2 linked regions of the Lepisosteus oculatus genome follow. The protein of the gene in region 1 interacts with the protein of each later gene in a pairwise test. Links are inferred from orthologs where the notes say so. Each region holds a gene or a part of one and is shown in the gene's direction. Other genes may lie near its edges.

Region 1 (8,022 bases):
AATTTTATTTCAGTAATTTTTCAAAGATTTGATGTCAGTGCAAACCACTAATATGGTATGAATTTGTTTTCAAATGTACATGAATAACTAATGAAAGCACCTCAAAGGATCAGATTTACAGTCATAATCACATTAAATAATTAAATACTTCAAACACAGTGAGATGCAGTTTTACCTTATGCGTATACCAACGGTAATCTCTTTTTTGTGCATATTCCGCAGCTGTTTCATGCATTGTTTTAGAATTAAATCTTCCTTAGGGGCTGCAGGTTTGCTAGCTTGGTTGTTTCTGGCGGTGGGAGTATTGACTCCAGATTAAATTAACAATAATGATGATAAGCAATGCTACTCGTCATGGCTGTAATATTAAAAGCAGAACTGCACTGTAAGCAGTCTGAGAGCACCAGAGTGCAAGAAAGGTGACATTACACGTCAGGAAAGCAGGTTTGTCTTTATTTCTGTGCGGCACTTGGGCCAGTCTCTGAAGACCTTCAGGAAATTCCTTAGCTCTCTTTGAGAATTGCATCTCCCCAGTACTAAAACATCCATCATCTTAAGCACTTTAATGATAGCAGTTTTCCCTTGTAATGCTCCTGTAAAACTTTTATACAAAGCATATTCCGTAAGGCTTGTCAAATGGAGCTGTATCTATTGTACTACAGGGCTCGTGATCGGAGACACTTAACTACGGTTGTGGCGGTTTTGCTCGTTAGCAGAGTGGGTGGGATTTAGTTTATTTTATTTTGTAACGAATGAAAGCAGTGTTAAAGATTTGTTGCTTCTATTTATTTTCGAGTGTTGGATTTGAAGCAGGTCATGACAGGGGAATGAGTTTGCACTGTGAGTTAAAATGGCAATATGACTGGCATCAGCAGTTTCTGTGTCTGAGTGTGTTATTGATTATACTTCCAGAAGGATTAAAGGGATGGAGTCTTGACATTGTGTGAAGTTTCTGTAGATGTGTAAGCCTGGAAATTACCTGTAAGTCTTTTCTAAGTTCAGTTTTTTGCTGAATTGTTTTAGGCCGCTGGATACCTGAACACAAGTCTAAAGCACCTAAAGTTACATTGCAACTGTAATAAATGTCTCTTAGTTATTAAAAATCATAGGTGTTTTTGTGGTCTTTGTTTCATGTCTCATCAGTTTCGAATGCATTTTCTTCACATTCTTGTTGGCTCTTTTGTGAAATCTTTTGATAGAAACACACCTGTTTGAAACAGTTTTAAATCATACCATAACAAACATAAAGCCTGTAATAAAAATGGTGACGGTTCAGTAGCAGAGCAATCTAAACTGATTATTGAGATAATTAGTGTTATGCATCCATCTATCTGATAGCCACTCCATGTTCTGCATGGGTCACAGGGGGGCCAGAGCCTATCCCAGCAAGCAGTGGGCGCAAGGCAAGCTCCACCCTGGACAGGACGCCAGACCATCGCAGTGCACATGTAGACACAGAAACACTCGCACTAGGGCCAATTTTCCCAGAGGCCAATTAACCTACAGTACTAGTATGTCTTTGGACTGTGGGAGGAAACTCTCACTATCATAAGGGGGAACTTGCAGACTCCACACAGATAACAACCGAAGGTCCAGTCTTGAACCCAGGGCCCCAGCGCTGTGAGGCAGCAATGATAACAACTGCACCACTATGCTGCCCTGATTTATAAATGGGAAATTAAAATATTTCCAGGTGTTTTTTGGAAATGATACCCACTTAGTCAAAAACCCCTACCTTATTGGGGTTTTTTGCACAGTGAGGTTTATTTTCAGAAGGATTCAAAAAGTCAAAGTTCAATTGGGGTAGCTGTTTTCAGGAGTAGACAATGCAGGACAAAACATAATTCTAAAACCACCATTTTCATGCTTCCAACAAAAAAGTTTTATGAGTATTCTATTTTTGGCCAATTTTAGTATCTTTCCTAATATTTAAAAAAATAGATCAGGTTGTTGTATAATAATTTGTGAGACGTTGGTTACAGTTCATCCAAAACTGTAAAATAAACACTGGCCACGTGAGGGCGCCGTGGTGCTTTAAACATGACCATGACAGCTCTGGTAACTGACAACTAGGTCTTTCAGTATAAAGGCAGTAGCTTCGCTTTAATGATTTATCTGTGCATTTCATGACCTATGGTTTTATCTTTCACCCAGTGCTGCCCGAGGGAACTGTGGACACGCACAACTAACTTTCACTTTCAATAGAGTGGTCTTAACCTCAGAAGGGCAGAGATCACCTGCATTTTTACTAAGGAGCAAAAAGGCCTTTCATGCTTTCTGGGCCTCCTTCATTTTCATGGCTTCATTAGTGAGCCTGGAGAGGCTTCCCTCTGGGGGAGAAGGGGAGCACAGTTTTAAAGCACATTTGTGGGACAGAGAGGTGCGGTCAAATTAACTTATCTGTTTTCCCCAATTGCTTTCCCAGAAAGAAACGTCATTTCTTTATTTTCCCCTCTGCTGAGTGCTTTATGTGGTGAGTAAGCATCATGGAAAGTTTTTTTTTCTGGGACTAAATGAGACTACATGGGACAGTTTGTGTGACATCTACATTAAACCCATCATTTCACTGATGTCTCTATTAATAAGAACTGAATCAAAACACTGCAATCATCCTGCGCTGCTATTTCTGATGTGCCTTATTCATAAGTGATCGATGAGATCATTGCAAGTCACAGAGATGTGGGTGATAGGCATGAGCTCGGGCTGTCAATATTAAACTAGACATTTTATTTAGCAGAATTGTCACTTATTGGTTGTTACTTTTTATTACTTGTCACTCTTTGAATGACAAGTTAGAGTAAATCAGGAATTTTAGATGTAACTTTAGTTCAAAGCCTATTTTTGTTTTAATAAGACTCATTAATTTTTGTCACTACTTATCCTCTTTATCTGGCCAAGCATTAGTTCTACCCTCCAAATGAACAGAAAACACTCCTGGCTTATAGAACCATTGGGAACAAGAGGTGATCAGGTGTCCTACAGAGTGTGCTGTGTTTCCCATGGTCTCATGGACAGGAGTGCCCTTTGCTCAGGTTTCAGCTGTTGTAGAAACAGACCACTAACATCTTAAGCTCCGTGTCATTTGTAATATACACATATAAACGCAGATCTAAATGTAGAATGATGATTCACAGCAGAATTCTGAACAAGGGCTTTTATGCTCAAAAACACCTAAACAATTCTTCATGACCTTTCTCCATTGCATAAGTTATCTTCCTCAAAGGAGACAGCTTTGTCTAATCTGTGGGAACTACGCTGACATTTTTAATTTAAAATGGGATTTTTTTTCCTCCATTGCATTCAATTCAATGGGTGTCCATTAACACACATTCTAGGACTGAATTGGTTTCTGTTTTTAAAGAAACGCTTTTTGGTATTCAGAGTGAACTTGGAACTTGGAGCAATTTCAAAACTTGACTATTACTCAATGTCTGTGACTGGTTTCATCAATTTCCAATTGTGTTGTTCCAAATTAAACATTCTCTGCAGTGTGTGAAGCAATAATCACTTAGTTCAGTACAAGGTTCTCATGAGCTAGAACGTAACCCAGCAAACAATGGGCACAAAATGGGACATACTGTACCTTGGACAGGATACCAGTCCATCTAATGGCACAGGTGGGAGGACATGTAAAGATGCCAATTACCCTGAACAATAATTTGTGGACTGTGGGAAGAAATCTGCGCACCTGGAGGAATCCCAGAAAACAGACATTATGTCCCAGATCATAACTGAATCCAGACCCAAGGATTATGGGTAACACTACATTACTTTTCATCACTCCTCCAGGCTACCTGCATAACAAACAGCATTTGTCTAATTGTTTCATTTTTTTTAATTCAAAGCAAATTATTAAAAAGCCTAATAGGCTAATTCCAAAAACCCGGGTGTGTGCTTTTTTTCCCCATTACTACTTAGTGAAATATTGGTTTAAACAAATAATTGGGCAGGTTATTTAGAACAATTAACATTAATTTGAGCCTGAGGCTTCTGGCAGTGTAACCGAACTTGTTAAAGAGGAAAAAACATTCTGTAAAAAACATAATGAACTTGTTTTCTCCTCCATCATGAATGTTTTCCTCCTGTTTAAACATAATGAGAATGTCTACAGAGGAGAAAATCATTCTGGTACTCTCTTAGGCTAAGCTTGTGTGCTTCTACTGTAGAATAGACTGTAAATTCCATCAAGAAATAAATAAGTTTGTATCAGAGCAGATTGTTTTTAAACTTTGGATACACACAACAATAATGTTGCAAACAACAAAAATGTTTGCTTAGGTTAGAGTATTTTACTTTATTTTGGAGAATAGCAAAAGAGAAGAACATTTTGGAGATGAAGGGTGCCAACACGTGTGTGTTTATATAACAAACTACCCTAGGTATTATTTGCATTCTCTAAAAATCAGCTAGAGTTGCACTGTGTACAGCATTGTACTGGTTCTGTTATCAGAAGTAGTCAGACAGGATTTTCTATGGGTTCAGATGATCATAATAACATCGCATGTTCCTCTTTTAAGGATGTGGAAAATATTTGATAGGATACTATTAATCGTTTGGTTTCCACCTGCTTGTAACAATATTTACCCTGCACGAATGGGTTAATGTGCTTTACTGCTTAATGAGTGCAGGGTCCCTTTTTATGTTGTTAAAATGTTAAGTGAACTGTTTTTATTATTACACAATATTATTATTAATATGAGTTCAACCCAGAAACGCAATAAGGGTTGAAGAACCCGCGTTGGTTAAACATCAGTCTATTACCGGACCATAAGGAGTCGGCAGGTGTCAGGCGGAAGTGCTGTTCGCCGTCTCTTCCGGCCGGGCAGGTGACGGCACAGCGCAGTCAGACATCTTGGAGAGCCGAGCTCCACTGGGCGACAGGGCCTCCCGCACTTCATCGCCATCCATCCGAGACCCGCAAGCATACACCGAACTAGGGCCGCTGCGGAGCCACCGAGAGAGGTAGGGCCTTGTAAAAGTCCCCGCATCGCCGCGATCCAGCGCTTCGTCCCCCGGAGATGCGAGTTTAAAGATTGCGGAAGAGACGGGCCGGAAGTGTGCATCAGATGATTGTGTTACCCAGAGAAAGTGGGAGGGAAGGCCGAGTTGTACACACAGCTGTTTGTAGTATTGCAAGTTCTTATTTATTGGCTTTTCCTTCGGTTTTGATGAAGTGAGTGAAGGCGACGGTTGTAGCAGAGGCCGGGTATTCAGAGACAAGGTTGTTGAGCTTAGTCGCATTTTTTTCTTGATTTTACTTGAATCTATAAGGTCAAGTGTAGTGCACGTTCATTCATTGCGCTGCATTACTACACGAATTTAACAAGTCCGGCTGGTGTAGGAATGTAGTGGAGTGAACGAGCGTGTTTTTCAAATCGTTGTCTTAGTTGGCCTTTTTATTTTGGAGTTTCATGGTTACTACAAAAACTGCTGTATGAGGTATGAGTGCGCTTGATACCTGAAATTTGAGCACGGTGGAAAACCAGTTGTAATGGAAACCTTTTGTGTGTTTCCTGAGTCTGGACGGAACAGAAACTTCAGTTTCACCCCAGAATGACGTTATTGTGAAGGGACCTGTCGTGAGCTAAGAGTCGGTCGTGTCCCTCTTTACAGCAGGAGATACGGTCATGTTGCACTGCCTGCATGTTCTTCTTGTAATTTGACTAAAATACCCGAGTTTTTCTTATTAATGTTTTATGAACACAAACAGGGATTATTTATACATATCACACAAGCAGTGCATTGTCGGAGTGAGACACATTTGGTCCCTTTTAAACGTGCTTAAAGGCGTTACTGTTAAGCAATGTCTATTTTACTGAAGGTATTTTTTTCTGATTGTACAGGCTGGCTAATCTTTAGGGTGGATTAGCTGGTACTGGGGATGTGGTTTTAACAACTGTTAAATGTCTGCCTAGGTATTTGATACACCCTTTTGCATGTTTTAAAGCTATTTGAACTATACACAAAATTCAAGCAGTAATGCATGGTTAATCATAAACTAAACCTGTTCTGTGCTTAATGAACTGAGTGTCAGTGATCACGCTCCTGATTCAGCAGTGCTCAAGAACTTTATCCTCTGACCTTTGCTATTTCCAAGAGAATAGTTAAAAATGTTAAGGTATTTTTTATACACTGTCGGCATCTATAAATGAAAGTCTGTGAAGCCCCCAAGCACACCTAACAACTAAGGATCTTGGTTTAATTTGAGGGGGAAAAAACAGCATTTCTGAATCTTGGGGTTTGCTTAAACTTAAACACCCTTGGGAAAATGGAGCAACTAACCATAATGCTATTCAGTGAATAACACTGTCAATGCACATTGATAGTTTTTATTTGAGCACAACTGCAGTAAGACTGGGCCACGACTAGCTCAGGGTAGTGGGTACGTGTCCAGTTGGTTTCTTATTTCTAGATTCTCCAGTTCTACCTGAAGATAAGTACGTGTGAACAGAACTTTTGAGTTCTTGATTTTCTGCTGCATCATAATTGTTGTTACCTGAATTAAAAACATGATTACAGGCAATATTTGCTTGTAAAGTTGTGTGACTTGGTATATTTGGCATATCAGTGAATCTTCCAATATCTTTAGTGTTTTGTGGTATTTTGCAAGCTTTTAAAATGTACTTGTTTCCAGTCTCCGTCTGCAGTGGCAGGGAAACGAACTGGAGTCTGGTGGGGCGCAGTGGTCAGCATGGCTGCCTCGCAGTGCAGGGCTCGATTCTGGACCTGGGCTGCTGTCTGCGTGGAGTTTGTATGTTCTCCCCGTGTTCACATGGGTTTCCCCCAGCTGCCCCAGGTTCCCCCCACAGTGTGATTGTGGCAGGTGAATTGGCGAACGTTGGCCCTGGTGTGCGCGCGTGCAGTTTTGCTCCGCGATGGACAGGCGTCCCATCCAGGGTGTACCCTGACTTGCACCTGATGCTTGCTGGGATAGGCTCTGGCTCGCTCTGGCTCCCTCATGGCTCTGGCTGGATGAAGTGGTTAGGAAATGATGAGAAAAAATCTGCCTCATGGTTCATGAAAACCACTTACGACATCTCTGTAAGTCCATATTATAGAAAACCTCTGCATCAGTTCCACACACCATTAATTCTAATTCACAATCCTTATTTCAACTAAAAGCAATCCTGCTCAAAACATGGGATAAGACTAGGCTTCACATATGTGGCACATCCTTTTTTTTTTTTTAGATTTTCTGGGTGCTCGCGGAGGCCCAGAAGGTTGACCACCTCTTTTTTTTAAATCCCTTCCTGGTGTGTTAGAAAGTGAGACCTGATGTCCCTGTGATTTAGCCCAGTTCAGGTAGAATGCCTGAGCAAGGGGCTGTTTTCATCCTCCTGTCATGTGTTGCAGTAAAAGACTGAACAGTATGGAATTGATGCAGAGGGGATTTGTGATGAATCTCAGAACGTATTTAGAAACCCAGCAGGGGTTGAACTGAACATTTGAATGTTGCTTTATCTAAGAAGCAACACTTGGTGTAATAAATTGCAGAAGCAAACCTCAGGTCGCACTTGAACTATAGCGATGCCAGCTACTCTGCCTCCATGCCACAATTCAGTTCAGTCTTTTGTTATTAAGCACCCTACAGATGAAACCCAAATGCGCAATATATTGTATAGTTTCTCATTGATTTTGGAAGATGGAACAGCAGATCAGCCAGCCTAATGCCAAAGCAGACAATGTACAAGAATGTGGAGGAGGAAATGAATGGAGCATGAGGTTAAATAACAGGAAAGCCCCCATGTGATGATCAACGACAATCCGATACCACAGGGGAGTTATGGTCTGTCCTCTTGGCTAGCACTTCTGCTTGCTAAGGATTTTTGTTTTGTTTTTCTCCTTTTGTGATAACATTAGCCCTGTGTGTCTGTGGGAGGGGTGTTTGGGCGGTGGGCACCTAACCTCTTTTTTTCCCCTTTAGCCGAGCTGCCTGAATTCCAGCCTCTTCGGCAGAATTCAGCGTCTCTTTCCTGGAGGTAGATGCTGTGCCAGCGCTCCTTTCTCACACTCTGTCCGAAT
Region 2 (7,895 bases), on another chromosome or scaffold:
CTCAGGAAAATACAAATTATTTTGTATGTACTGAAAGTAAATGACTTCTAAAATAAATTCATTAAATCTTTGTGGGGTTCTTCATCTGGAAGTTATTTCTCTTTATTAAATTGTATTTGTCTGAGCCTAGAAATTTTAAATTTGTTTTAAATGTTTTAAATTTGCAGATTCACACATACCAATGTAAAAGAATAATCCCATTGCCTACACAGTAAGAGCAGTAAATTGCAAAACTGACACACATTTATCTACCTTTTTTCACAACTTAATATGTTGCTGCTTTCAGACACTTTACCGTTAAAAACAAACACAAGTTGGAGATGAGACTGGTTTTGTGACTCTGAAACCGCTGCACACAGGGATATATGACTTAGCATCTTTTAAAATGGAAATTATCAAACTGGAAAGATCTCTTATGTGTAAATCACATCGTTCCCACAAGAGGGCAGCAGAGTACAGTTTTTAGGCTGTAGTCTATGTTGCAATCACGTGTCTCTTAAGACGTGCCTGACTGAAGGTGAAGCAAATGCTTTTTTTCCCCTAGCGCTTTCCGAGTCTGTCGTGCTAAATGCAGCCCACAGGCAGCATGATGGAGGCAGAGATCGTGTCCGCAGGAGGAGTTCGCAGCAGCAGGCAAAGCTGCAACACGGTGAGGATCCTGAACGAGATCGAGACCAGCCTACTGGAATGCAAAGTGTGCTTTGAGAGATTCAGCGTGGAGCGGGGCAAGGGCAGGCCCAAGAATCTGCCCTGCGGTCACGTGATGTGCTGGGAATGCCTCAGCTCTCTCGCCCACCCTCGCTTTCAGAGGCTGGAGTGCCCCTTCTGCCGCAGGCTCTGCAGCCCCGCGGAGGCGTCCGACTGTCTCGTGGTGGCCCACCTGACGGAGCTGCTCGGGGGCGGCCGCCCTCCCTGCGCGGGTTACAGCGCGGGCGGGTTTGGGACTGTGGGCCTGAAGCTTCGCGGGGCTTTCGGAGGCTGGGGGCGCTTGGTGAACCCCACGGGAGCTGCCCTTTTCGGCGGGCGGGGGGCGCTGGTAGTCGTGCATGACGGTAGGAAGCGGGTGGGTATCTTCAGCCTCCAGGGAGAGCGCCTCCACGGGTTCGGGCGCAAGGGGACGTTGCCCGACGATATCTGCTACCCCCTGGACGTCGCTGTTACGCCCGCAGGCCACATTATTGTGACCGACGCCGGGGATCGCTCTGTCAAAGTGTTCACCTCCGCGGGAAGAAATCTTTTGACCGTCAGAGAGACGTTCAAGTTGCCTTGGGGAACGGATGCCGACGGTTCCAATCGCATCTTTGTCACGGATGCGGACGCTGGGACCCTTTCTCGCCTGGTGGTGGATTTCTGCACAAATCTCGTCACCGGTCACCATGTGGCCTCCTCGAAGCTGTGCTGCCCCAGAGAGATCGCATCCTCCAAGCTCACAGGGTCCGTAGTGGTAGTGGAACATCTAAGAGGTTGGGAACACAGAAGCAGCACAGCCACAAGGCTCAAACTGTTCGATAGCCAGCTCAGACTGCTATCTCAGATCGACACCTTTGGATTCAGTTTGGTGGCTCCAGTTCAAATGAATGTCTCCGCGGTGGCCTTTGACAGCGAAGACAACGTGATTGCAGCTGATGGCAGCCGGAGAGTGGTGGTGTGCTTGGGGAAGCTCAGGGAATCCCCTTCCTTTATTCCACTCATCAACCAAGGGCTGGGTCGCCCTGTAGGACTGATCTGCACAGCGGGGAACATGCTGGTCGTCTTGGACAGCAGCGAGCAAGCTGTGAAAATTTACAAAGATGGCCGAGACCAGCTGTGAACCACTTCCAAGAAAAATTTAGAGTCATGCAAACTGCAGACTGAGCATATTTAAGTGCTTGGCACTTTGTACTGCTTGTAAAATTTCCTGCTGAAAACTAAGAAAATCGTCACTAATAAAATTTTTCATAGTAAACATTACCGTCATATACAGTAGACAAAAAAGTACTGTAAATACTTGTGAATGGAGCATAAAGCATACATAAATATTTCTAAGCATATGGTCTTTGTATTTATATATAGAGTAAACTGTATTAATATATAATATGTTAATAGTATAAATACATTAATATTGCTTACAATGACATATCAGTAGATAATTTGTTTTATACCACTAAAAATAATTTATAATAATATTGTATAATTAGAAGACTAACGTTGGCTTAACAGTTTAAAAAGACGTTCTAGGTCTGTGCTTCCCTGTACTGGTTTTGGACATATTGTCATTTCTGGTACAGTATGTATTTCAACCCAGCTCTTTCTTAATGAACCTCATTGAAGCTTTAATTGAAGTGTTTTCACAGTTCCAGCTCCTCGATGCAAGATTAGATTGGGGAGCTGTGAAGAAACAGTTGGAGATTAGTTCCACAACGAAGAGTAACAAGAACAAAGGCAACGTTTTGGATTTGGAGCCTCTTCAGGTATGACTGCTTCTCCCTGGAAGCACCCAGAGCTGGGCTAACAATTACCATGTGCCAGATGAGATTGAGGACTCCTCCCTTTTCGGATTCCTGTTTAAATGACCATGTGGAACTTAACTGAAGAGTCTGTACAGCACTGTGCATGCTTATTAAAGGAGTGCTTCAGAAGCATCATACCTACTTGTTTCTGTGCATCAGTCTTAAACAAGGTGAAAACTACAGCTTTTGTAAGATGTCTTTGAAATAATACACACGAATGAAATTATTTCTGGAAATAAGAACTTTTAAATGAGAAACTCGGCTGTACCAGAAACTATATCAAAGAAGGCATTCAAAGTCCAAGATTGTGAAACACTTTTCTGAGTTACACTGACTCCTTCGCTCCATCTATTTATCAGTTCATTAAGAAAAGCTACTATCTGGTTTATTTATTATGAAAAGACCCTTATGGCAAGAGTCTATCCCCAGGAACATTGGATGCATACTGGGAATACAACCTGGACGGGATGCTAGTCCAATGCAGGGCACACACACCACTGAGGACAAGATGAGGACGGCATGTCACATATGAGAAAACCCATACCGCATTGGGGAGACCATACAAACTCCACACAGAAGATGCCCCATTCCAGACTTGAACCCAGTATCCAAGAGCTATGAGGCAGTACTGCAAGGCTGCCAAGCCTTCCTGCCATGCATTGATAGGATATTAAAATATTGGAAGAATGTAATCTTCAGCATATGTTTAGAATGTACGGAGAATGACACTCAAGTGCAAATATGTTTTTTTTTATTTTCAAGTGTGATTTTTTTACTTTGCAGTTTTATATAATAATAATTAATAATAATAGACATGCATTTTACATGTTTCGCCATTGTTACTGCGCTTATTCCGTATTCGGTTGGCATAAGCGAGTGCCTGGCTCTGCAAAACAGTTCTGGTCAGAACTGTGATTTACAATTTGCAGATTATCACATACAGTACACTAATTTGCACATTCCTGGTCAAGAGGCACTTTCTCGGGCCGTAGACAGTACTAACGTACAGCAGCATCACTGATGGAATGAGAGCAGAAGGTAAGAACAACGAATGGCAGTATAAATACTCTTCCATTGTCCTAATTGTCTCAAATCCCATGCGATATAAGGCCACATTTAGTAGATATACTGTAGATACAAAGTATTCCGGGACTCGGAACACCCTGGAAAAGCCGGACTAGACACCCGTCCGTCTCACGGAGCGCGCATGTACAAAGGCGGATAATGGAAAAAGTCATATTTACTCGAGCAGTTTATAAATACAAGGCTGCACGAAAACGTACGTGAGAATCTACAGATTTACCATCTGAACCTGTCGGTTTCCACATTGGTATAAATAAACAGTGCGACGAAAGTACTCTTAATTTTTGTATTTTGGAAGTGTGCAAAAAGCCTGTCCTAACACTTTTAAAGTACTGACAGCATATTCGCAATCAATTCCAACAGATCAGCACTGGAGTAACATATCTGAACATCTTCTGCAGTTTTGTATTACTTGCTATTTTACGTCGTTATGCCTGTGAAAACGCAGCGTTATTAAGCGCTACATGTTTGTTACATTATAAAAATAATAACAGTAACCATGTTTATTTAATTTATATTTATAAATATCATACTCTATTTATTAAATATCCACGTTTATTTATAGAAAGTAATAATACAAAATAACAATACATACCCACAGCTCCGGTCTGAGTTGTCCCATTTTTCTAATCAGGTGCAGCAACAGTGACATTTTGGTCTTGTCTCTAAATTCGCAATGGGATGACGATATACTCGATCTCAACAGTAAGAATGTAAATCCTCACAAAAATGTTCACTATTCACAGCTGACATGACGTTTTTTGCGTATTGAATAAAGCTAGATAGTAGCGTGTTTCCCCTCACGCATCTTCGTTCGTCTTCGTATGTTTCCGTGATGTCCGAGTGCCTCTCCCGTATTCCGTTCTTCTCCGTGTATTCCCGGTGGCCTTTGCTTCCGAAGTTCAGTTCGTGTGTTCCCAGAATCCGGCTTTTTCGGTCCGCCGGAGTCTCGCCTGGTGGTGCAAACTGCTCTCAGTGGAAGATGGCGGTGGGGATGGAGTCTAGGATGAGAGAGGATCGGTGGTAAATTTAGCTCACTGAAAGTAAAATATGTTTAATTTTCTGTTTCAAGTGGCCTGGAATGGATCTTGGGAATATATTGTTTGCATCTACGCCCGATAACTGACTTGGAGCTAAAGCACTTGGGGACTCACACTATCATTTTTCCTAAGTCCAATGTAACAGTCTAGTGGAGGAAAAAAAAGTGGATGAAAATGTCGGATAGTAAGGTAAAAGTTGCTGTAAGAGTCCGGCCAATGAACCGGAGAGGTAAGTGTATTGTACTTCACCATATTCTGTCTTCTGTAACCCATAATTACAACACCCTTTAAAAACTTCTTTAGCTGCAAGATTTGTAACGCAGTGTAGCAGCATCTTCTGTCTCTTCAGCAGTTATGCAGCAAAGGAGTGATGCGATTTATCTGGGAGTTGTTTTAGGGAGAAGTGAAACGGCTAGGCTTCGGGGATGTGTGTTTTGTTACTGTGTGACGGCTTTAAAGCGCTCCCTGCTAACGCACTGTCCCTTTCGACTGTCACCGCAGAAATTGAGCTGAACACGAAATGTGTTGTGGAAATGGAAGACAACCAAACCGTCCTGCACCCACCGCCTTCAAACTCGAAAGGGGAGAACAGGTAAAAACTGCTGTGTGATAAAGCATCTACTTTGGTTAGTGTCCCTTGTGCGACTTAACGAACTTTTAGCGGTGAGTCCAGTCTTTGTATGTGCCCGGGCGATGGGGGAAATCAGTGATTTGACATTGATCCTCGCATTTAGTATTATTTAACGGTTACCGTCGATAAAACCTGCGATTTGGCTTAGAAACAAAGAGGTGAAAGGCTTCTGGATTTTACTGTTTTGGATTCGTTTTTTTTGGGGGGGGAGGGCTTTGTATTGAACGAAGATGGGATTGCAAACTTGGATGTACAACATCTGTGCCCGCTGCTGTAGATCAGCGAGACCTTGACGCACAAGAACTAAATGCCGGATAAGCACGCATGTAGTTCGGTTTTCTCGACGCTTACAGTACTTCTATGTTATGTGGTCATTCCTCCCAAGTTTTAGAAGCGAAAAAACAACAACAGGTGTGTTAAATAACACTTCACGCGCCTCCTCGAGGCCGTTTTCAATGCTGTGCGACACGGTTCCCCGCAGCGCAGTGCAGAAAATTGACCACCAAGCCCGGGATACAGAGAGTTGCGGAAAGAGCCGCTGGCTCCCATCCAAAATTCCAATGCAACAGGCTGTAAAAATAGATGGGAGAGAGGAAAGGGGAGGCCGCTCGTGTTGGGCACTGTCCCTTCCACTGATACCTGTTAGAGCCGCCTCCGACAGTTTAACCTGTATCAGCTTCTAAAGTCGCCAAGATTTCGAGTCCTTTGATTGTGTTTTAATTGCGGTTTTTTTTCTTGCGAAAGGGCAACATTTTAAAGATAAAGGTAACCTCAGACAACTTGGGTTATATTTAGTAACCCTACAAAGCGGTAGTTTTCCGCTTGCTTTCACTGGGTTTTTGAGGATGTACATAGGAAGTATATGAGTATATAGGAATGGAATCCTGCATAGTTAGTAATCTTGTTTTTGGGTATGTAGTTGTTTGTATAGTATTTATAGATCGTATATATTGCTTTTGAAAAATTTCTTTTAAAATTAAAATGGGTTCTCTTTTCTGAAAAATAAGCCTACATCTGTTGCGATTTATAGATCTTGTGGTTAGATTTGACTTTTTTGCCCTCCGGTGAAATTTCACTAATTGTGTTTGGACTCTACTGGAACTTGTTCATTGGAGTGTAGTACTGGTTAGCAAACTCTGAAAGGAGGCTTTCAGTCTGAGCGAAAACAATAGGTGTGTGTCAGATGATTTATGGAGCAGGAAGAGAGCTGTGTATCTTGCTCATAATTGCAGAAATGAAGGCTTTACATTGTATTGGATCAGAACGGATGTGCTAGTTACATACTGCTTAACCAGCAGAAAAACGGGTACATTATTTTGTAAGTTGGAGCATTGAGCTCAAGTCAATTCAGCAGATGTAACACAGGGCAAGTGCAACTTTATGTGTAGGAAGCCATTGTAAAGAAATTGATGTTGATATGCACAGACTTTCAATTGACTATCCTTTTGACAGAAATGACATATAGCAAAGGATCACAATTGATTTCCATAAATATTTGTTGAATACGATCTGTCAATGACAACATCTTGTTGAATTTACAAGGGTTTTGTCTTGCCGCTTTCTCTTATACTGAATGTCGGTGTGACCTAAAGTCCAATTATTGTTACATCCATTTATTTCGATTTTTAAGATTTTCTGTTTTGGGGAGATTATTTAATGTACATTAGAATCTACCAGGATGTTCCGACTGCTTAACATTTAGGCCTTGACCTTGTGGTTTGTTTTGAATGCCAGATTAGAAAAAAAAAAGCTCTCAGATGTTGGCTAGTGAGTGTTTAGCCGAAAACTTTCAGATAGATTTGGAAAACTCTTTCTAAAAGCCTGGCTGCAGTACATTTGCATCTGAATTTCTATTTACAAAATCCTGATTTGATGTAACCTGGAATCACAAACAAAGACTGACCAGAGAAGATAAACAGCAAGTGAATTTCCATGACCCCCAGGCAGGTGGAGGTTGTGGTTTTGCATAGTCACATTGGAAACCGATATTTCCTTTAACCATTAATGTAGGGAAGGTACATGCTGACTGTGAGACAGTGCTGTGTGAAGATACTCACTTTCAAATAACTGACAACTTTGCCATCTTGTAATGTGCAGTCATTGACAGGGAAAATGGAGTGTATCATAGCTTCCATGTTTTTTTCCCAACCTAAACTTGCCCGACAGCACTAGTACTGGCAAACACCCTGCCTTCAAACCATTTCAAGCCAGCGTTACAAGAACTGGGTTCCTTTTAAGTCCGCATGTGGTTTTGAGGCTTCACTGAGTAAGCTGTTGGCTCTTCATGAGCTGGGCTCTTGCAGTGCAAGTGAGAAAAATATCATCAGTCTCGAAATGTTATAAAGCAATTTGCAAGCCATCTCTCCAATAAACCATAATTTTGCTTCTCTCCTTAATTGTGTCGTGCTTGGAATCTGAATCATTTTGGCTGAATCATCACCAATATTTTTAGAACCATATCTCGCAGTGTAACTTAACACTATCCAGTCCCAGGCTCCAGCATTTTCCGTAGACAGTAAAGCCTTTGTGCTTCTGTAATTTAACAAATTTATCATTTCAGAGAAACCAACAGGCAGTGATGAATTTTTAGACCACTTCTACACTCACAAGTCCCAGAGAAAACAGAATGTGGTATGGGGCCATCACTCTTCT

What was found. The genes of interacting proteins can lie anywhere in the genome.
Region 2: the proteins of ap1b1 (region 1) and kif13a interact in binary tests that used the Homo sapiens proteins (3 or more experiments, as listed by UniProt). The link is inferred for Lepisosteus oculatus from reciprocal best matches to the Homo sapiens genes AP1B1 and KIF13A.

Annotation. Positions count from the first base shown.
Region 1 is NC_090717.1:13,415,828-13,423,849, reverse strand, and holds the start of ap1b1 (AP-1 complex subunit beta-1), read left to right. Parts: upstream 1-4,797; 5' UTR 4,798-4,962; intron 4,963-5,122; exon of another isoform or gene 5,123-5,221; intron 5,222-8,022. UniProt on the Homo sapiens protein: Subunit of clathrin-associated adaptor protein complex 1 that plays a role in protein sorting in the late-Golgi/trans-Golgi network (TGN) and/or endosomes.
Region 2 is NC_090705.1:16,935,758-16,943,652, reverse strand, and holds the start of kif13a (kinesin-like protein KIF13A), read left to right. Parts: upstream 1-4,479; 5' UTR 4,480-4,780; coding exon 4,781-4,841; intron 4,842-5,113; coding exon 5,114-5,204; intron 5,205-7,895. Other genes in the region: E3 ubiquitin-protein ligase NHLRC1, read left to right, coding at 569-1,810. UniProt on the Homo sapiens protein: Plus end-directed microtubule-dependent motor protein involved in intracellular transport and regulating various processes such as mannose-6-phosphate receptor (M6PR) transport to the plasma membrane, endosomal sorting during melanosome biogenesis and cytokinesis.